2 linked regions of the Pelodiscus sinensis genome follow. The protein of the gene in region 1 purifies or fractionates together with the protein of each later gene. This does not show direct contact. Links are inferred from orthologs where the notes say so. Each region holds a gene or a part of one and is shown on either strand. Other genes may lie near its edges.

Region 1 (9,860 bases):
CTTTTTCAAGTGTCAGTGTCTGACTTACAATGAACATATATGTACAATATTTTAATTATCATCCCTAAAACTGAAATATTTTATGTAGCTGGGGTTTGGTTTTTTGGGGAAGGGAGGGGCAGGGGAAGTTGTGCTCTTTCACTGTTCTACATCATTCTATTACTATAATGTTTGGTAAAATTGTAAGACAACAGAAATTTGGCATTGGTTAGGTCATCTCCATGTTATGAATTTAGATCTGGTATTTTAATCAGATAACTATTTGGGACATACAAAATGAATTAGGTGCAGTTCACTCTTCAGTGGACAAGAGGTCTGAGTCTATGTCCCTGAAATCATTGCTTCAGTTGTGTATTCAACATTGGATGTAGAGTCTGATCTACCTTCACATATCTTTCTTGTAGGTTCTGATACAAGAGTGAGGAAAGAGAATGCGGGAAACTCACTACTGTTGTTAAAAGTTTAACAGATACCTTGGGTTAGGAGCAGATTTTCATTTTGGCACTGATCAGAAACCACTTACTTTTTTTTTTTTTTTTTTTTAACACTTCAGCTTTCTTTCCAGACTCTGGATGACCATAGCTAAACAATGTCTGGACTACGTGGAGCTGTTCATGCAAAATGGATAGTAGGAAAAGTAATAGGAACTAAAATGCATAAAACTGCTAAAGTGAGAGTGACAAGGCTTGTGCTGGATCCTTATTTATTAAAGGTAATATCTTGCAAGATCATTTTCGTATACACTATTGGAATATATATTGACGCTCTGAAATACATTGTAAATTGTTTACATTGTCAGATAATTAATAATCATTGATGAACTATGATTACAAGAGTAAAAAACAGTGTTAGAACATAAAATTTGACATGTCAAATTATCTATTAAATGTATTTCCTTCAGTTATTCTGCTTAACACACATTTTGATCTGAGTTGGGTAGATGGACTGCTGATTTTGTGCTATGAATTTGAAAAGTCTTTTTAAAATATTTATAAGTTTCTGGGCTTTTGCTCCATTTTAAAAGGTGGAAGTTATAAAAAAAATTTTATAACGATAGTCAAATAATTGCCTACTATATCGATTTCCTGGTCACTTTGAATAATTAATTGAAGAAATATTCTTTAGCATTTGAATCACTGTATCAGTTGAACATCAGTCAGTGATACAGTAATCTCACTGTAAGATAAGCCTCCCTCAGTTATTATTAAAGACTAGAGTCAGGATTTTATTCAGTTCTGCATTTTATAAGATAAATGTGCTCATATGGAAGATATTGGTGCAACACTAATACCACAGTGGTAGGACTTCTGTGTATTGGAAGGGGCTTTTCTGAAATTTGGCCTGTCTACATGGGGCCAAATTTAGGAAAAAAGTCCTCTTTTGGAACATCCCTTATTCCTCTCACCAAGAGGAATATAGGGATGCCAAAAGAACGCACCTGCTTTTTCGGAAACTGTTCCAAAAAAGCAGATGCGTTCCCTGGACACATGCGTTCCCAGAGGTATCCCAGAAAAACTGCAGTCTAGACATAGCCTTACATACAGGAAGCCTTCACCATTTAGGATTTTGCTAACTGTGGTTTTGCATATTCAAGGTGCACTGCACCGCACCAGCGCTAGCACATGATGCAGTGTGATGACGCTTCTTCAGTGTACTCTAGTAAAGGAGCCTGAAAGTTAAAAGGGAAATGGAAGTTGCAGTGATACAGTACTAGGAAATTTTAGATATTACATGTGTTTATTAATTCATGATTATTGTTTTATGTGGAAATTGTGATTATTTTGTGTCATGAACTTCCCCCTGGTATTCACATGTTTGCCATTCGCTGTGATTTTAAGAACATATCCCCTGTGAATTAGGGGTGTTAAGATATGGTTAATAAAAATTCTATTGACTACTTGATTAGTCAGTAAGGGAAGACAGCCTTGCTTGTGCCGGGTCTGGGACCTACCCCCTCTTCATGGTAGGTCCTGGACCCAGCACAAGCCAGGACTGAGCCAGGCAGAGGTTCAAGGGGACAGGGGCTGCTGTCAGAGCAGCTTCTGTCTGCAGCCAGCCTGGGCCACGATGGACAGGGACTGCTTTTAAGTTGGCTTCTCCCAGCACCAGCTCCTGCTTCCCCCACTTGCTGCCTTTGATACTGAGGCAGTGGGGGGGGGGGGGGGGGGAAGGGTTGTGAGTGTTGACTAAACTAACCCATAAGCCTAAAATAGCCTAGAAAAGTCAAGTAACCCATAAGTGTTCATGACTGAGCCAAGCCCCAATGTGGGGGTGGGGGAAGTGTGTGTAGTCTATAACCAATTAACCAATAAACAAAAGCTTATAGGTTAATGGTAATCAACTACATTGTTACATTACATTATTAGTAGACTAGTTGACTACTCGCTTACATTCCTACTGTGAATGGTGAAGGCTTCCTGTAATTTCCTGAGCTCTTCCCCTCTACAGTTTGTGCAAATTATTAAGAGATTTGGAAGAGCCTTGACAGTCATTTTGCTGAATGTAATGCATGCAAGGGACTGAGATGATAAAACAGTGGTAACTAGCACTCAAAAGTAGTACTAAATCAGGGTTAGTGAATAATCAAAGTTGTTAAGGTAGCTATAAAGAACTGGCCCCAACTTGCCTTGATCTGACTTAGGACAAAAGTCCTATCTTGGGTGAAGAAGGGCTAATGTCACATTTGCCCAGTTCTTCAGGTGTACCATATACATTTACCAATGGCTTTGCTTGGGAAAAAACTCAGTGAGCTCAGCTATGCAGATCTATTGGCTTTGATAGTGAAACCTTCAATTCAATCAACTTAAGTTCAAAAGCAAAATGGTCATCTTACTTTTGAGTCTTAATGCCTGGATTTCCTTTTCTCCAACAGTTCTTTAACAAGCGAAAAACTTATTTCGCTCATGATCCATTGCAGCAGTGTGCAGTCGGAGACATTGTTCTTCTAAAAGCTTTGCCTGAGCGGAGGACCAAAAATGTGAAACATGAACTGGCTGAGATTGTTTTCAAGGTTGGAAATGTCATAGACCCAGTGACTGGAAAGGCCTGTGCAGGAACTAGGTTCCTGGAAAGTCTAACAGATTCAGAAAGTCTAACTGAGGCAGATACCACCTATCTAAGTGAAAAACTTCAAGAGCTAAATGTTTCCTCAACAGAGAAATGAAGGGTGGGAAGAGACCAGTAAACTAAGGGCTTTAACTTTCATCTTTACATGAGGGATTGGTTGTGGCCCACTGTCTCTATGTAAAATCTTTCTATGAATTTGTTAGAAACAATAAACTGTATTACTTCCACCATTGAAATGATATAGCTATTTTAATATTGTGGGAAATTATCAATTAGAAATAACTATGTTTTGAATTTTCTCCACATTAAGCCCTATGGTAGTGGTGGGTTTTTTTTTCTTTTTCTTAACACACAGTTTTGCCCCAGTTTTAGCAAGAATGTCAAAATTGCCACCTTAATCACAAAATTAAGAATAATGAAGAGTCCTATAGCACCTTGGACATATTTATTAGGGCATAAGATTTCATGGGTAAAACCCACTTCATCAGATGAACTGGAATGGAGTTAAAGATTTTACATATTGGAGTTAGTCTGTAAGGTGCCACAGGACTCAGTTGTTTTTGCAGATACAGACTTAACGTGGCTAAAATTGTTCTTTATTAAAATGTTTAAGAGGATAAATCTATATATGTTTAATATTTGTGGGAGCATGTTTTTTTCCCTCCTGTTTGACTGTCTGAATTCTGAACCTAAATCTGCTGTGGTTCATAGCCTTATATTTAAAATAACAAATTAAAAAGTGTTTTTAAAAAGTGTGTAGAAATTCTATAGGCAGCTGTTTATGCATGATATTTCATTTTAATATTTGTGATACTAGACTAACAGTAAGCCTACTAGAACATTTCATAAACCTTGTGTGTAATGTAATAGAATCTATGTGCATTTAAGCCACCTGTTATAAACTTTTATCTGCTTTTATCACAAGCCATGCTAAAGGAAGGGTTCCCATGTGAAACTGACACATGGCTACAGTGAAACAGTGGCATAGCTTGGCAAAGTCTGAAGGGACATAATCCAGCATCCCATGAGGTCAAAGAGGAATGGGAAGGAAATGAAAGTTTTTTTTTATTATTATTCACTTTTATGAGAGCTCTTAAATAATAGATGGGGTAACATCCATATTTGAGAAGGGGATGCGATTCTTCTCAATTCAGATATCTACATTTTCCCTTATGAAGCTGTGTGTCCAGCACAAACATAAGGATATATCTGTTTTACTGTGTCTAAGTATTGTTCTGCAAATAGGAAAAATTTAAAAACATGAATATTAGAAAAATCCCATGATGTAATGCAAAAGAGTTGAAGTAAAGTTGTCTGGAATATTAATTTCTTAAGAAAATGTAATTAGGGAAATCCTGCAAAGAGATGCAAGAACAGAGTCTCCAAAAGTTATAGCAAAAAGTATGTAGTTCAGAGTAGTTAAGGATTACACTTGCCTTTGTTGCCTGGATTCTGGGCAACTGCCACTATAGCACTGCATAAATTTAGAGTAGGTCTGGTGCTTGTGACATCCTCTCCCATCCCCAAAACACATGTTGTGCAAGGGATAGCGTAAGACCACATATGACACTCTTGCATAGAAGTCAGGCCCAGAGTTGGGGGAAGGAATCTGTTCCATCACTCACTGACTGTTCAAATGAGTATATGAGAGTACCTGCACTCATCACTTTGCAGGGTTAGGATTTCAGCCTGAACTTCTAGAGAATCAGTCTCCGTGGATGAGGTGCTACTGATAAAGCAAGACTTGGGAACAGCTCCTCCTCAGGAATATGAAATTATTTGTGCCTCTTTCTATTCTAGCACAGGTGGTTAAAGTCCTGCCTGTCTTAATTTATTTGCTTTCCTTCCCTGCAAGGAATACATTCACTTTATATTCAAGTTTACATGTGTCTCTCTGCAGTGTGTGTTAATTCCAAATCATCTTATACAGATGTCTTAACTTCACACTGAAGATATATTCCAATTCTGGTTCTCTTCTCCAGGAGGAAAAAAAAGAAATTGTCATTGACTACCAAGTCAAACCAATATTGTTTTGATCACTGAAAATGACAGTGAGTTTTGCCAGTTACTTCAGTATATTACTAGAACAAGTTTGTATGTTAATATCTGCACCTACAGGGTTTCCAACAGGAGCACACCAGGGAAAAAAAAGCATTCTAATTTCCAGTAAGTTGTTGGAGTGGTAACAAGTTACAGATAGATGTACACATATTTCATGTTCAGAGTTCTCACACATTCCATGAAAGGAACAACAGTGTAAAGAGCAGCCAACAATTACACTGTAAGCTTTCATAGTACACACAGTTGTGTTTTTTGTCTTACAGACTAGAGACCATGGTAACTAATGATAGCATGTAAAACCTTAGGCCCTGTGATTACAAACACATAAGCAGTTGAGCATAGGCAAAGTATTGCCCTTATTTTACAGAGGAGAAAACTAGCAAAGAAAGGTGAAAGGGCTTGCCAAGGCTGGCAGCTAGTAGTGGCAGAGCTGAGGGCAGCCCTGGGTCTCTATGCAGGTAAATATTTCTTCCCTGACACGTTGATGAGGACACAGAATTATTACCCTGTGAGGGGGAGAGAAAGAGACACACACTGGTAGCTTTATCCCCAAGAGAGGAAGACAGGCAGTGGCATCAGCCTCCAGGGACTTGCAGTGGGTGGGTTAAAATAGGTTTTAAGAGATGTGCAGGTGCAAATGGGGCTCCCCTCCGCCGCCTGACGGCGCAGGTGCCTGGCTCGTGGGATGTGGGCTGGACCCGCAGGCACGCGGGGGCCGAGCCCGGCAGCCAAGGGGTTAAGAGTCGGGTGGGAGGGGGCTGCTCCCCCTCGCAGTGCCAGGCCCCCTGGTGGCCGCCGGCGGGTACTGCAGGCTCGTCTCCTTCGCCCAGGCCGGGGCGCGCTGGACTGAGAGGCCGGAGCAAGATGGCGACCCGAGTGCTGCTGCGGCGGAGCCTGGGGGGAGCCGGCGGGCTGGGCAGGGCCGGGCCTCGCCTCCCGGCCCGCGGCGGCCTGGCCCTCAGGTGAGCGCGGCAGCCCCGGGGCCCGGCCCTCGCGGGCTGTAAGTGGAGCCGCGGGGGCGGGGGCGGGAAAGTCTCAGCCCCGAGTAAGCGCCCCTCGCCCGGGGTCTCCCTCAAGGTCATGGGCCTCGCCGCGCCCCCAGGGGCCGCCCGCGGGCAGCCCCCCCGCATTGTCCTCGTACCCCGCCCGCACTGGGGGCTCCCCCCGCAGCCTGCGTTCGACCCCCTGCAGCGCAGGCCTCCCGCCATCTGCGCCAGGGCCCCGCTGCCCCAACGCCCCCGGGGGACCCGCCCCGCTGAGCCCGGCTGGAATGGACCCGTGCAGCCTGGGTTATGTTGTACGTGCCCCAGCTTTCATGTGTGTTTAGAACAGGAATCAAAGCCTGTCGGCTGGATTGCAGTGACTGCTCCGTTCAGCATTTTCTCTTTCCGGGGAAACGCCATCAGGGCAGCTAGTTAGGATTTGTCCTAACATTGAATCTAGGTTGTGGACTAAAAGAAAACTTGGTGGATGGTAATATGTCCCTGTGTCTTGAATCCCATTTAAATCAATATTTTCAGCTGCCTGCTGTAGCACTGAGGTAGTATATGAGAACAGAAAGGTGAAATTGATTAGAAACTGATTAGTCTTTTATTATTTTTTAATATAAGGGTAATGCCAGAAGCAAAACAGTGAAAACTAAACTTTGCTTTTTAAAAATTTCAATTTTCCTTTCAGTAACAGGGTACCAATGATGCTTCCAAAATAAGGAAATGTGTTTTGTTGAATTGTTTTAAAGTAATAGTGTCCCATTGAAATCTTGGGCATCAATGATCTTTCTTTCTTTCTTTCTTTCTTTCTTTCTTTCTTTCTTTCTTTCTTTCTTTCTCTACAAGAGTCACTAACAGTTTGAAATATGTACACACATTGGCTGATCACTTTTTCTCTTTACAACCCAGTCTGGATGTACAATTGTATATAGAACAATTGTTTACGTAGCAGATGCAGTTGTAGGTCTAGTTCCTGCCAACACACACATGCGTTTCTCTAAGTACTCTAAATTTGTGGGATTGGGACCATAACCAGTAAAGTCAGGCTGTGCCTTAAAGAAAAGGATTGAAAATGATTCCGTGATAGGTTGCCTGTAATGCTGTGAGAAACATGGCTCCCAGAAAACCAAAAATATTATGCTGTTGGAAACCCCATATACCTATCCTTTATCTATGATGTAACATTTTCTTACCCTGTGTTACAATTTAGTTTTTACAATTTAGATACATTCCCAAACAGTAAGGGTCAGGCTGGAAATAAGGTATAAATGTTTTACCATTAGAGTAACAACTGGAACAATTTACTAAGGGTCATGGTGGATTCTTTATCACTGACAATTCTTAGATAGCAGCGAGGAGTCCTGTGGCACCTTAGAGACTAACTGAAGTGTAGGAGCATAAGCTTTTGTTGGCAAAGATCCACGAAAGCTTATGCTCCTACACTTCAGTTAGTCTCTAAGGTGCCACAGGACTCCTCGCCGCTTTTGCAGATTCAGACTAACACGGCTACCCCTCTAATTCTTAGATAAAAATTTGATGTTTTTCTACAAGAAATCTAGGAATTATTTTGAGAGAGTTCTGTGGCCTCTGTTATACAGGATCTCAGATTAGATCATCACAGTGGTCTTTTCTGGTCTTGGAATCTAAGAGTCTGTTAGTCCAGTGGTTCCCAATTGCCAGTCCGTAGACCAGTGGTTCCCAATTGCTGGTCCATGGACCAGCACAGGTGCCGGAGCAGCCATGGTGGCTGAGGCGGAACTGGAGGAGCCTCCCTTCCTCCTTCTTCCTCCCCCCTCCCTGCTTGGGGGGGAAGAGGGGGTACAAAGGAGGAGGGAGCATGTGCACAACCAGCGGCCGCTTCCCCTGCCTGCGCAGCTGCTTTTGCCAACTTTTGCTGGGGCTCAGGAGGCAGAACAGAGGGTGTCCCCCAACACCTTTGGTAATGGCAGCCGGCCAGAGCTCTGCACCCCCCTCCCCCCATTCTACCCATGGGGGCGCAAGGTGCACTTGGGGAGGGAGAGGGCGTGAAGGAGGAGGGAGAGCATGCACTGGCAACGGCCGCTCTCCCTGCCTACGCAGCAGTAATAGCAATGCTCGATAGGTGGGCATGGGGGCAAAGATCAAAGGGGTGTTGGGTGAGGGCATGGTGGTGTTACAAGGCAAGAGGGTATTGGCATGGGTTGTAGGGGTCAGAGGTTAAGGGATTAAAGGGTGTTAAGCACTGGGGAGCAAGGGGCTGGGTTGGAGATCAGTGGACAGGTAATATTTTATTTGCATATTCATTATTTGCATAATGAAAAAAGTTTGTGAATGGGTTTGCTGGTCTGCAGCATAAAAAAGGTTGGGAACCACTGTGTTAGACTGGAGTATTCTTCCAAATGAGATGTATAAAGCACTTAAGTTCTACTGTAGGGAATGTTTCTGAACTAATAAAAAGATTAGAGTAGAATAAAATGTTGCGAATGCTCCTTAGCAAGTGTATAGTAACACTTTATTAATCCATGTTCTTAAAGTTCTTTGAAGTTCTTGGATTAAAAGTATCATGCAATTGCAAAGTATTATTAAGGTCACCATTTCATTAAGAAATTAAGAGAAAACTATCTCCTTCTTTTATGTGGCAAACAACAAAGTTGTAAGTCTATCCTACTAGCAGAGAACTTGGTTATCCAATAGTATCCCATACCCATCATGTCTTTTCTGCTGTAGTGGTAATGTTCACAAATGAGAAAGTAAACATGATTACTGGGGACTTTCATTGTCAGAATGCTTTACAAACAGCTAACTCTCATGACACCTTTCAGGGAAGGTAAGTTCTTATCAGCCCCTATAGTAGATAGATAGATGGCCTGACTTACAGTGGTATTCTGAGCCTTTTTGCGTTGGCAATGGGATACAAAAGGATTACCGATCAACTACTTCAGAGGGTTAGCCGAGTTAGTCTGTAACAGGAAAAACTTAAAAAACAACAAATAGTCTAGTAGCACCTTAAAGACTAATAAAACATGTAGATGGTATCATGAGCTTTCGTGGGCACAATCCACTTCTTCAGATGACAGGTTAGCTCTGCCTGCCATGCAGTATTCCTGGCACAGAAGATCCTTGTAAATATTTTTGGTCAGTAGTATTCTGCTTAGTTTTCTGTGCAGTAGTGTGTTTGAATGGGGTCAGAGATAAGTAGTTTTCATGGAGTGGAACAGCGAGAGATTTTCTTTTTTGTGTGGAAGGTCACCTCATTCCCAGCTATCTTTTCTTAGCTGTCACATGGGTCTTCTGCCTCCTTCAGCATGTTGCTTGGTTATGCCAGGGGTTCTCAGACTTGTGATACCATGATCTCCCCCCCTCTCAGTTGCTCGCGACCCCCCTCCCCATTACTGCAACCAGCCTCTGAGTTGCTCGTGACCCCTGAGGGGTCGGGAACCACAGTTTGAGAAATGCTGGGTTAAGCAATATAAACCACCACAATATTTTATGCCCCAATATTATTTCTGGAATATTTTCAGTCTTTTGGGGACTTAAAAGATAATTTCACAGTTGGAAGTTGTAATCTCTCCTATGGCTTTCCTAGCCAATAACTAACATCCCCGAGAATAAAGTAATTTAAAGTCCTTCCACAATCTTCCAAGAAAAGGGGAGAAGCTTCAAGCAAATACTTCTAATGGGGATTGGGAAGAAGAAAAATACTATAAGATCCAGGCTACCTTTGTACATTATAAAAAAGAAGCATTAAACAATAGGCTCTTTTCA
Region 2 (10,931 bases), on another chromosome or scaffold:
TAGCTTCCCCAACTCTGCCCGCCCCTGCAGTCACAGGCAGAGTATAGCGAAGTCTGGGGAGTGCGGCACAAGTCACTAACAGCTGTGCTTTTAGATGTAGAAAAAGGATTTGCATTTGCAGGGCTTGACAAACGGCGGCAAAACCTACTCGCCAGCCCTGCACTGTGCATGAGCAAGACCCGCATTGCGCATGTGCGCGCCGCCGGTGAATGCTGCGACTGGCTGAAATCTACTCGCCACAGGCGAGTAGATTCAGTGATTCGTCGAGCCCTGTGCATATGCCAACAATACTCCAGACTTCACCGAACAGGCCTACCTTCTGAAAGATACAGACTCTTATTTCATGAAGTTATGCAAGTAACTCATGGGCTACATTCACACACACACACCCCACCCCAAGTTCCATGGTCTAACAAGCTTTTTTTTCTTAAGTTCTCCTTAAAGACTTTCTGGGAAGTCCTATAAATCCTGGTCTCTACAACCACTTTCAAGAAAACAGATGAACCGTGCACAAAGCTAAAAAGGGTGCTAATAACCTGGGACAAAACGTGCTAACCCTCCCCCTTCCTTTGCCTGCACACAGGAGCGGCCTGAGGCCGACTGCAGCAGCTGGCGCCCTAGGCGGGGCGGCGCGATTGGCGCCCCGCCTATACAGCCGTCAATGGCCGTGATGTCATCATCGGACACCCGGGCCAGCGGCGCCCTAGGCAGCTGCCTAGCTCGCCTAGGCTCACGAGCTGCCCCTGCCTGCACACTATTTAGATTGCAACTCTGGGTCAGGGACCTTGTCACTGCTGTTCTCCCAAGACACTTAAACGTTTTGGCAGCCTAGAAATAAATATGCAAAAGGAGTGACATACTTTTGATGCACGTTATCCTGGAAAATTTGGCTTTATCAAGTTGCACAGGCCAGAGCAGGCTTGGAAAACAATAACCAGGCTCAAAACACAGCGACAATACAAAGTGGCTTAGAGGCAGTTTACAATAATAGCACTGCTACTTTCAGGAGCCAATCATGTACAACTAGCAGCATGAATTTCTACAAATGAAGATTACAGAAAAAACCCTCTCGTACTTTTTAAACAGAACACCAGCAGGCCGCCTTATGGTTTTCACCATTATACTGGAACTAAAAGACTTAAACGAGATTTACTGTTCATGACTTATGTTTTATAGGGCAATGAAAAGAGATTAGTCAGTTTCATTTCTGTTGATAGATTGTAGTAAATTCCACTTTTAAATAGATTTCCAACACTGCAGGGGAAAAGGGTTAAAAACTGTTTCAAGTCTTTAAAAAAGAATAATTAAATATTTACTCACTGGGTTTTGCAATAGCTTGTTTTTACAATAAACTAATTTTGGAAGGTAACTGATTACAGCCTCTGTGATACTTTGCACTTCTCTAGCGCTTTCCATTATTGGTTACCAAAAATGTGACAGACATTAATGAATTTAAGCATCACAAAGGGGGATGCACGAGTTACTGAAGACAAAATTTAATCAAAACTACTCCTGGTGAGAATGAATGCAGAGGAACACCCCCAGCTGGACTTAGGCACTTAGAGACCAGAAGAAATACTCACTCACTTGTAAAATGATCAACAGGAACTATGTGGCGCTATTATTTTGCAGAACAGAACTGGATGTTTATAGATGGGAGATGGAGGCAGGGAAGTTGCCCACCTTGAAAACCACTAGGCAGAAAGCACTATAAGGGCAAAGTATTATTAGGCCAGTGTTTAGCTCACAGAACTTTCGCTGAGGGGAGCGGCTCCCAATGTTGGCTGGTGTGCCGAGGGAGGACACTCCCCCACACCATGACACAGCTGCCCCATTTTCTCCACTCTTGGTCTCTTTCTGTGCTCCTCTCCCTGCTCCCTGACTCACCAGGAGACTGCATGCTGCTTGAGGTGGGAACAGCAGCATCCATAGGTGGCTCCGTAGTGCCAGGGCTCGTGATCTGGAACTAAGCTGAACATCAAGGGAGCAGAAAAGAAATGCTTGGGATGGCCCATGTTTCCTCCCTACACCTGTGAGCTGAACAAGGAGCTGCAAGTGGTGCAAGACAGACTTTCAATCGGTGCCTGTTTTACTAGCAGCTGTGGGAATGTGTGCAACAGGGGTGGCCCCAAAACCATGGAACTTTCCTCATATGCGCTGCTCTTGGCCTCAGTTTTTGCCCTGCCACTGCAAGTACTTGCCCATCCCCCCCGCAAAAAAACCACCCCAAAGTTTGCCAAACACTGATTCAGGGGCATGAAGAACAAAAGACTATTCCAGGCAGACTGCTATCAACTCTGAGGAACTGGGGGTCCAACCAACACATACTTTCAAGGGAGGGCACTGTCAGCCAAAGTGAGGGTGTTCAATATTGGTTAATTGAATAGTTGAGTAACCTCATGAATCCTTATCAGTTAGCCGACTATTCTAGAGTCCCTAGGGGGCAGGGCTGGAAGCCAGTGCACTTCAGCCCCACTCCTGAGGAGTCCCCCTGCCACTCTACGTGGGGTGTCGGGGGGAGCCGGTCCACGAGGAGAGCCAGTTTAAAAACCAGCCTGTCGCCCTGTGTTCCTGCCTCTGATACAGAGGCAACAGCGCAGGGTGGCAGCAGCCCCTGCCTGGTGAGGGGAAGGAAATGCGTGTAGTCTATGGCATTAACTTATAAGCTTTTGCTTATCAGATAATCAGTTAATCAACTGCACTATTATATCCCTAGTGCGAATCCTGAAAACAAGGAACTACAGACACCAGGCTAGTGGGCTAGATGGACCTTTGGTCTGACCCAGTACAGCCATTCTTATGTTCTTACCATGGTGTGTACAATCGTGTATCATTCTGACAGTTACAAGTGTAAATTCAGAGGAGAACCCAGCTCTCTAGCTGTGCATTCGCAGAAGGAAACCCTCACCGCAGGAATATGGGGAGCTCAGTGCCTGGGGCACCTCTGCTGAGCAGAAAAAGAAAGGACCAGACGAATGACAACTGCAGGAGAAGGACTGGGTCACTGAATTAAGAGCCCACTTAATTCCACAAACCAACAAACTCTGATCAGATGTCAAATCATTCCTGTGACTTGACTGAAAGCAGTCAGACTAACGGCTTGTCTATACTGCTGTGCTACCAGGCTGTCAGGTCACTGAGCTGTAACTTTCTTGTTCAGGGGTGTGACAAAGCATCTCCCGAGCACAGCAAGTTACAGCGCTGTGAAGTGTGGGTGTAAACAGGCTCCCAGCACTGGGAACTATGCCCCAAGCATAGAGGCTGTTCATCTAGAGCACTGGGAGAGCTCTACGAGCACACTGCCACAGCCACCTTCCCGCATCAAATCCATTAACTGCAAATGATCTCCGCTAGTCACTAACATTCATCACCCGCCCCGGGAAATGAACAGGGAGCAGCAGCACAACCTGAGAGCCCCAGGCCAGGGGTTTGGGGGAGGTGGGATAGCCGCCTGGGGAGAGCTTGTTGCCGCAGCAGGCGTGTGCCGGGAGCCAGGGTGGCTGGGGGCCAGGGTGGCCGGGGCGGCCGGGAGCCAGGGTGGCCGGGGGCCGGGGGGGCCGGGGTGGCCGGGGGGGCCGGGAGCCGGGGGGGCCGGGGCGGCCGGGGATGCTGGGGGCCGGGGGGGCCAGGGTGGCCGGGAGCCGGGGGGGCCGGGAGCCGGGGGAGCCGGGGGGGCCGGGAGCCGGGGGGGCCGGGGGGGCCGGGGTCCGGGAGCCGGGAGCCAGGGCCGCGGCAGAGCCAGAACCCCTGTGACCCGACTGCTGGCGGGCCGGGCTGCTGCGTGTGGCCAGGCCCCGCGCTGAGCTCCCCGGGCTCCTGCTGCCAGCCCCGCCCGGCCGGCGGCCCCAGACAGGCACTCGGCGGGGAGCGCAGCACGGCGAGCCGGGGCGGGGCGGGGCTCGGCAGCGCGCCCCCCCCCCCGGCCCAGCCCCTCACCGAGGCGGCGGGCCGCGCAGTACTTGGCGGCGGCCGTGAAGCGCGTGAGGCTCCCGATCGCGCGCACCGCGGCCGCCATCTTGCTCGGGGAGGTCGAAGCGGCGGCGGGGCGGGTCCTTGAGGCGCGGGGCCTTCGCACCCCCCAGGGCTGCCCGCGGCGCTGCCTGATTGGCTCGCCCAGCCCAGGCGCGGCGCGGGGCGGGCTGCCTTCAGGCACCGGCGAGGGCAGCTACGGCAGGGCCGGCGGGGGCTTTCCTGAGGCAGGCACCGCCCAGGGCAGCGAGCGGGGCCGCCACCGCGTAGCGACGGTAACGGCCGCGGCGCGAGCCCTGCGGGTCCCTGGCGCGTGGCCCCGCCCCGCCCCGCGTGGGGGAGGGGATCGCTGCAGGTGGCTGGAGGGGGAGGCGCTGCCGGGGACGGGGGACTACGTGGGGGGGGGGCTGAAGGAGGCGGGGCCTGGCTGCAGGAGGGGCAGGGCTGTGAGGGGCAGGGGGCTGAAGGAGGCGGGGCCTGGCTGCAGGAGGGGCGGGGCTGTGAGGGGCAGGGGGCTGAAGGAGGCGGGGCCTGGCTGCAGGAGGGGCGGGGCTGTGAGGGGTAGGGGGTTGAAGGAGGCGGGGCCTGGCTGCAGGAGGGGCGGGGCTGTGAGGGGCAGGGGGCTGAAGGAGGCGGGGCCTGGCTGCAGGAGGGGCGGGGCTGTGAGGGGCAGGGGGCTGAAGGAGGCGGGGCCTGGCTGCAGGAGGGGCAGGGCTGTGAGGGGCAGGGGGTTGAAGGAGGCGGGGCCTGGCTGCAGAAGGGGCGGGGCTGTGAGGGGCAGGGGGCTGAAGGAGGCGGGGCCTGGCTGCAGGAGGGGCAGGGCTGTGAGGGGCAGGGGGTTGAAGGAGGCGGGGCCTGGCTGCAGAAGGGGCGGGGCTGTGAGGGGCAGGGGGCTGAAGGAGGCGGGGCCTGGCTGCAGGAGGGGCGGGGCTGTGAGGGGCAGGGGGCTGAAGGAGGCGGGGCCTGGCTGCAGGAGGGGCGGGGCTGTGAGGGGTAGGGGGTTGAAGGAGGCGGGGCCTGGCTGTAGGAGGGGCAGGGCTGTGGGGGGCAGGGGGCTGAAGGAGGCGGGGCCTGGCTGCAGGAGGGGCGGGGCTGTGAGGGGCAGGGGGCTGAAGGAGGCGGGGCCTGGCTGCAGGAGGGGCAGGGCTGTGAGGGGCAGGGGGCTGAAGGAGGCGGGGCCTGGCTGCAGGAGGGGCAGGGCTGTGGGGGGGGCTGAAGGAGGCGGGGCCTGGCTGCAGAAGGGGCAGGGCTGTGAGGGGTAGGGGGCCGAAGGAGGCGGGGCCTGGCTGCAGGAGGGGCGGGGCTGTGAGGGGCAGGGGGCTGAAGGAGGCGGGGCCTGGCTGCAGGAGGGGCGGGGCTGTGAGGGGCAGGGGGCTGAAGGAGGCGGGGCCTGGCTGCAGGAGGGGCGGGGCTGTGAGGGGTAGGGGGTTGAAGGAGGCGGGGCCTGGCTGCAGGAGGGGCGGGGCTGTGAGGGGCAGGGGGCTGAAGGAGGCGGGGCCTGGCTGCAGGAGGGGCGGGGCTGTGAGGGGCAGGGGGCTGAAGGAGGCGGGGCCTGGCTGCAGGAGGGGCGGGGCTGTGAGGGGTAGGGGGCTGAAGGAGGCGGGGCCTGGCTGCAGGAGGGGCAGGGCTGTGAGGGGCAGGGGGCTGAAGGAGGCGGGGCCTGGCTGCAGGAGGGGCAGGGCTGTGAGGGGCAGGGGGCTGAAGGAGGCGGGGCCTGGCTGCAGGAGGGGCGGGGCTGTGAGGGGTAGGGGGTTGAAGGAGGCGGGGCCTGGCTGTAGGAGGGGCAGGGCTGTGAGGGGCAGGGGGCTGAAGGAGGCGGGGCCTGGCTGCAGGAGGGGCAGGGCTGTGAGGGGCAGGGGGCTGAAGGAGGCGGGGCCTGGCTGCAGGAGGGGCAGGGCTGTGGGGGGGGCTGAAGGAGGCGGGGCCTGGCTGCAGAAGGGGCAGGGCTGTGAGGGGTAGGGGGCCGAAGGAGGCGGGGCCTGGCTGCAGGAGGGGCGGGGCTGTGAGGGGCAGGGGGCTGAAGGAGGCGGGGCCTGGCTGCAGGAGGGGCGGGGCTGTGAGGGGCAGGGGGCTGAAGGAGGCGGGGCCTGGCTGCAGGAGGGGCGGGGCTGTGAGGGGTAGGGGGCTGAAGGAGGCGGGGCCTGGCTGCAGGAGGGGCGGGGCTGTGAGGGGCAGGGGGCCGAAGGAGGCGGGGCCTGGCTGCAGAAGGGGCGGGGCTGTGAGGGGTAGGGGGCTGAAGGAGGCGGGGCCTGGCTGCAGAAGGGGCGGGGCTGTGAGGGGTAGGGGGCTGAAGGAGGCGGGGCCTGGCTGCAGAAGGGGCGGGGCTGTGAGGGGTAGGGGGCTGAAGGAGGCGGGGCCTGGCTGTAGGAGGGGCAGGGCTGTGAGGGGCAGGGGGCTGAAGGAGGCGGGGCCTGGCTGTAGGAGGGGCGGGGCTGTGAGGGGTAGGGGGCTGAAGGAGGCGGGGCCTGGCTGTAGGAGGGGCGGGGCTGTGAGGGGTAGGGGGCTGAAGGAGGCGGGGCCTGGCTACAGAAGGGGCGGGGCTGTGAGGGGTAGGGGGCTGAAGGAGGCGGGGCCTGGCTGCAGGAGGGGTAGGGCTGTGAGGGGCTGAAGGAGGTGGGGCCTGGCTGCAGGAGGGGTAGGGCTGCTGGGGGCTGAAGGAGGCGGGGCCTGGCTGTAGGAGGGGCAGGGCTGTGAGGGGCAGAGGGTTGAAGGAGGCGGGACCTGGCTGCAGGAGGGGTAGGGCTGTGAGGGGCAGAGGGCTGAAGGAGGTGGGGCCTAGCTGCAGGAGGGGCAGAGGGTTAAAGGAGGCGGGACCTGGCTGCAGGAGGGGCAGGGCTGTGGGGGGGGCTGAAGGAGGCGGGGCCTGGCTGCAGAAGGGGCAGGGCTGTGAGGGGTAGGGGGCTGAAGGAGGCGGGCCTGGCTGCAGGAGGGGTAGGGCTGTGAGCGGCAGAGGGGTGAAGGAGGTGGGGCCTGGCTGCAGGAGGGGTAGGGCTGTGAGGGGTAGAGGGCTGAAGGAGGTGGGGCCTGGCAGTAGGAGGGGTGGAGCTCTGAGAGGCAGGGGGCTGAAGGAGGCGGGGCCTGGCTGCAGGAGGGGTAGGGCTGTGAGGGGCTGAAGGAGGTGGGGCCTGGCTGCAGGAGGGGTAGGGCTGCTGGGGGCTGAAGGAGGCGGGGCCTGGCTGTAGGAGGGGCAGCGCTGTGAGGGGCAGAGGGTTGAAGGAGGCGGGACCTGGCTGCAGGAGGGGCAGGGCTGTGGGGGGGCTGAAGGAGGCGGGGCCTGGCTGCAGGAGGGGTAGGGCTGTGAGGGGCTGAAGGAGGTGGGGCCTGGCTGCAGGAGGGGTAGGGCTGCTGGGGGCTGAAGGAGGCGGGGCCTGGCTGTAGGAGGGGCAGGGCTGTGAGGGGCAGAGGGTTGAAGGAGGCGGGACCTGGCTGCAGGAGGGGCAGGGCTGTGGGGGGGCTGAAGGAGGCGGGGCCTGGCTGTAGGAGTGGTAGGGCTGTGAGGGGCAGAGGGCTGAAGGAGGTGGGGCCTAGCTGCAGGAGGGGCAGAGGGTTGAAGGAGGCGGGACCTGGCTGCAGGAGGGGCAGGGCTGTGGGGGGGCTGAATGAGGCGGGGCCTGGCTGCAGGAGAGGTGAGCCTAGGGGCTGTAAGGGGCTGGGTGAAGCTGTGGGCAGGGGTGGCCTGTGCTCTCACCCTGGAGCTGATCCCCAGGAGGGCTCAGGGGGCAGAGATCCCTGCTGGCCCAGGCACTTGCATCTATTGAATCCCGGGGTGGTTCCCCAGGTCGGCTGGCGCCTGTGGTGGGTGACTGATCGGGACAGAGATGAGCTTGAGTAAAGGCTGGGTGCCAGCAGGAACAACCCCACAGCAAGTTCCAGCTGTTGTGGCGTCTGTGGGGGGGCATTTTAAAATGTGTCTGTCCAGGACCCCTTGGAACATACTGAACAGCCCTGATCCTAGAAGAGGAATGAGTCACTATTTACTTGTATTAGTCAGGCCTAAAGCTCCAGTGTTAGGCACAGCTCAAACACCACAAAAAGTCCCTCCCCCAGTGGATACTGGGTTGACCTTGATGGGTCTTCTCTATCTCCATTGCCTTTGGCTGCATGTGGACTGGCTAGCTTGCCCATTCTGAAACCTCTGAACAAGTTAATTGCTGTCCTTCCTCTCCTGCACTATTCTAGATTTCAAAATGACTTCCATGTTGAGCCGTGCTATCAGACGCCTCCCTGCTACCTCTGCGTGGGCTTTCAGATTCTGTAAGTGTTGTTCTTGTTAAAAAATTAAGTCAATGCCATGTAAAAGAACGCTGTCATTTTGCTGTTTTTAAAAAAGAGGTTAGAAGTAGATTCATGGGTGCCACCGGCACCCAAGTCTCCTTGCCATTTTATGATTTTTATGACCACTTTTCCTGTTTTAAAGTGTTTTTTTCCTTGTTGCTGTGCAAAACTCCACAAACTGGCTATACGCAATGCATACAACATTTTTTTCTGTATGTGCAGTTTCCATAGGTTACTTGTCTACATTTTTCTTACTATTATTACACATTTTTAAGTATTATAGGCAACTTTTTTGTTCAGTAGTTGTTCTGACTCTGTGTTTTGTGTTTTAGCAGCAAGACCCTTCAGTTGCTCGCCTCTGTCCCAAGCCACAGGTAAAGTGAATGCACTAAAACTTCAATGCTAGGTGCCTCCTCATACCTAGCCCAGGCTGTAATATAACAGGTTGGTCTGGGTACCACTGAGAGTGACAAAGCAGGGTGAATTGCTCAAAACCAAGGCTACTTACAGGCCGAGACTGGGGTCCTTCCCTATAAGGCACCAAACCAGTCACACAGAGCACTTCAGCTGCCACTCTGGCCAGTAAGAAGCCCCATGAGCAAACCCCCTTAGACACATCAGTATTCCCTGTGCCACAACCAGACCCACACTTTATACTGGCGAGAGGTTATAAAACCCAATCTCAGCAACTCCGAACACGTTCTCCAAGTCCCAAAGAACCAGTCACAGTCCCCAGTCAGTTTATACCTCGGCTTTTACCCAAAAGAGCCTGCTATGCCAATCCCTTAGAATCTAAAAATCTAAAGGTTTATTAATTAAAAAAAAAAAAGGTTGATAGTGAGATTAAGGAGAATACATTTCAGACATCGATCACCAAGTTTTTGATGCAGGCTCTTAGCAGAGATGTAACAAACTGCCAGCTTAAAAGTCCCGAGTGCATCCTGTGTCAGGATAGGTCAGCAAATAGTTCCTGGCCCTCTCTTCATAGCAAAGGTGCTTCTGGAATCAGGAGCAGGATTGAAGACAAGATGGAGGCGCCCTCATGGTATTTTTATAATCTTTTCCTGGATGCTGGTGCCTCCCAAAATGTGCTGATCACATGACCCACAAACCAGTTTCTTTCCTCAGGCAAGGGGCCATTGTGTGCTCCTCAGGTGTCAGTTGTCGACACTCTGTGCAGTATCTAGACAGTGCTTGGTCCTGCCACGAGGGCAGGGGACTGGACTTGATGACCTCTGGAGGTCCCTTCCATCTATAGCAGTGTTTCTTAAACTTTTTAAGACCGAGAAACACCAAACAATTTTTTTATGAGGCACACCAAGGATTTTTTGGGGGGGAGGGGGGAAGTTGTTGAGGGGACAAAAAAGGTTGCCTGCCCCTTTAAGAGTGGCCATTTTGAACTCTGTTGTTCTCCGCGGCACACCTGTGTGCCAGGAAACACAGTTTAAGAAACACTGATCTGTAGTGTTCTTTGATTCTAGTAGTATTTATTTTGTAAATAAAATCTTGCTCCAGACTTGCTCAGATTCTAGTCAGTAGCTGTTTACATATTCTCTTCAAACAGTCCAGCCCAAAAGTAAGAAAACCTTAGCCAAAAATGGTGTGAAGAATATCGTGGTGGTGGACGGGGTCCGCATTCCATTTTTGCAATCTGGCACCTCGTAAGTATGAAAAAAAATCACACCCCTTTGCTTTGGTTAATTGTGTGGAAAGATACAGGTAGAATCTGAACGGAAGCCGTTGGGCTTGGTATAGTTGTACCTCTCTAGCTGCACTCACTTTGCTCTGTGCCTGATGTGTGCTTGCTCGCTGTCCTGACATTGTAGATACTCTTACGCATAAGAGGAAAATGTAACCAATGGAATAGCTGCAAGGAGCTAAACAACTTGTTTTTCTGATTGTCCCTGGGTTTCTAGATTTGGTGGTTTGTTCTGGTCCCTTCCTTGGGTTGTGTTTGTAGTCTTGACAAGATTGTGGGTTTCTGTTACACAGGTAGAACTATCTGCGAGCCCTGCTACATATTAGAAGCATGAAGGAGTTGGGCATTCTAGAGTTATGTGATTTCCCCAGGAGTTAGAATACATATCTTGTGACTCCAGTGTCTCGTCAGGGGTTAGACTCGCCTAAAAGATTGCAATCAACTAAGGCTGCAGCTGCGACCATGTGGTACCTTATATACAGCAGTGGTGAGCTAGGGCTTCCTCTCTTTCTTCTTTGTATTCTTTGCCTTCCAGTGATAACAGAGAAAATCGCGTGTATATTGGGCTGGGTTGGGAGGTTAGATTTTCCAGGCTTGACATAGAGCCACTGTACATAGCAACATGCAGCCCAACAGATATGTCTTTAGATGCCATTCATGTGACTACACCTATGATTGAAAACTGGGTTCAAGACCCAGGCACAGTCCGGTCGTCCTGGCAGGAGTAAATGACATCATATGATTTTGTTAGAAACCTGTTACTTAATGCCTTCAACGTCATAGCTGAATCGGGACCGTTTCTAATACTTCCCTAGAGTTGAGACTGCTGCTGCTGTATCTTGTTTCAGTGACTGTAGGCTGGTTCCCCTCATGTGGATATTTTGGTCTCCACAAAGAAGGCTGTGAAATGCCCATGTTTAAGTGTAGACGCTCCATGACTGCTCATTGGATGCCATACTCTGTTCTATTAATGCGCGCTCTGAATGAG

The links. Proteins that work in one complex are often made in the same cells at the same time.
Region 2: the proteins of NIPSNAP2 (region 1) and HADHA purify together in Homo sapiens (affinity purification with mass spectrometry; 3 studies listed by BioGRID and IntAct, with this or other methods). This does not show direct contact. The link is inferred for Pelodiscus sinensis from reciprocal best matches to the Homo sapiens genes NIPSNAP2 and HADHA.

What each region holds. Positions count from the first base shown.
Region 1 is NC_134731.1:20,286,187-20,296,046, reverse strand, and holds the start of NIPSNAP2 (protein NipSnap homolog 2), read left to right. Parts: upstream 1-5,924; 5' UTR 5,925-5,991; coding exon 5,992-6,089; intron 6,090-9,860. Other genes in the region: MRPS17 (small ribosomal subunit protein uS17m), read left to right, coding at 590-712, 2,873-3,163. UniProt on the Homo sapiens protein: Protein involved in mitophagy by facilitating recruitment of the autophagy machinery required for clearance of damaged mitochondria.
Region 2 is NW_027465862.1:356,692-367,622, reverse strand, and holds the start of HADHA (trifunctional enzyme subunit alpha, mitochondrial), read right to left. Parts: upstream 4,083-10,931; 5' UTR 4,016-4,082; coding exon 3,937-4,015; intron 1,946-3,936; exon of another isoform or gene 1,931-1,945; coding exon of another isoform or gene 1,888-1,930; intron 1-1,887. Other genes in the region: HADHB (trifunctional enzyme subunit beta, mitochondrial), read left to right, coding at 8,157-8,223, 8,577-8,618, 9,809-9,905. UniProt on the Homo sapiens protein: Mitochondrial trifunctional enzyme catalyzes the last three of the four reactions of the mitochondrial beta-oxidation pathway.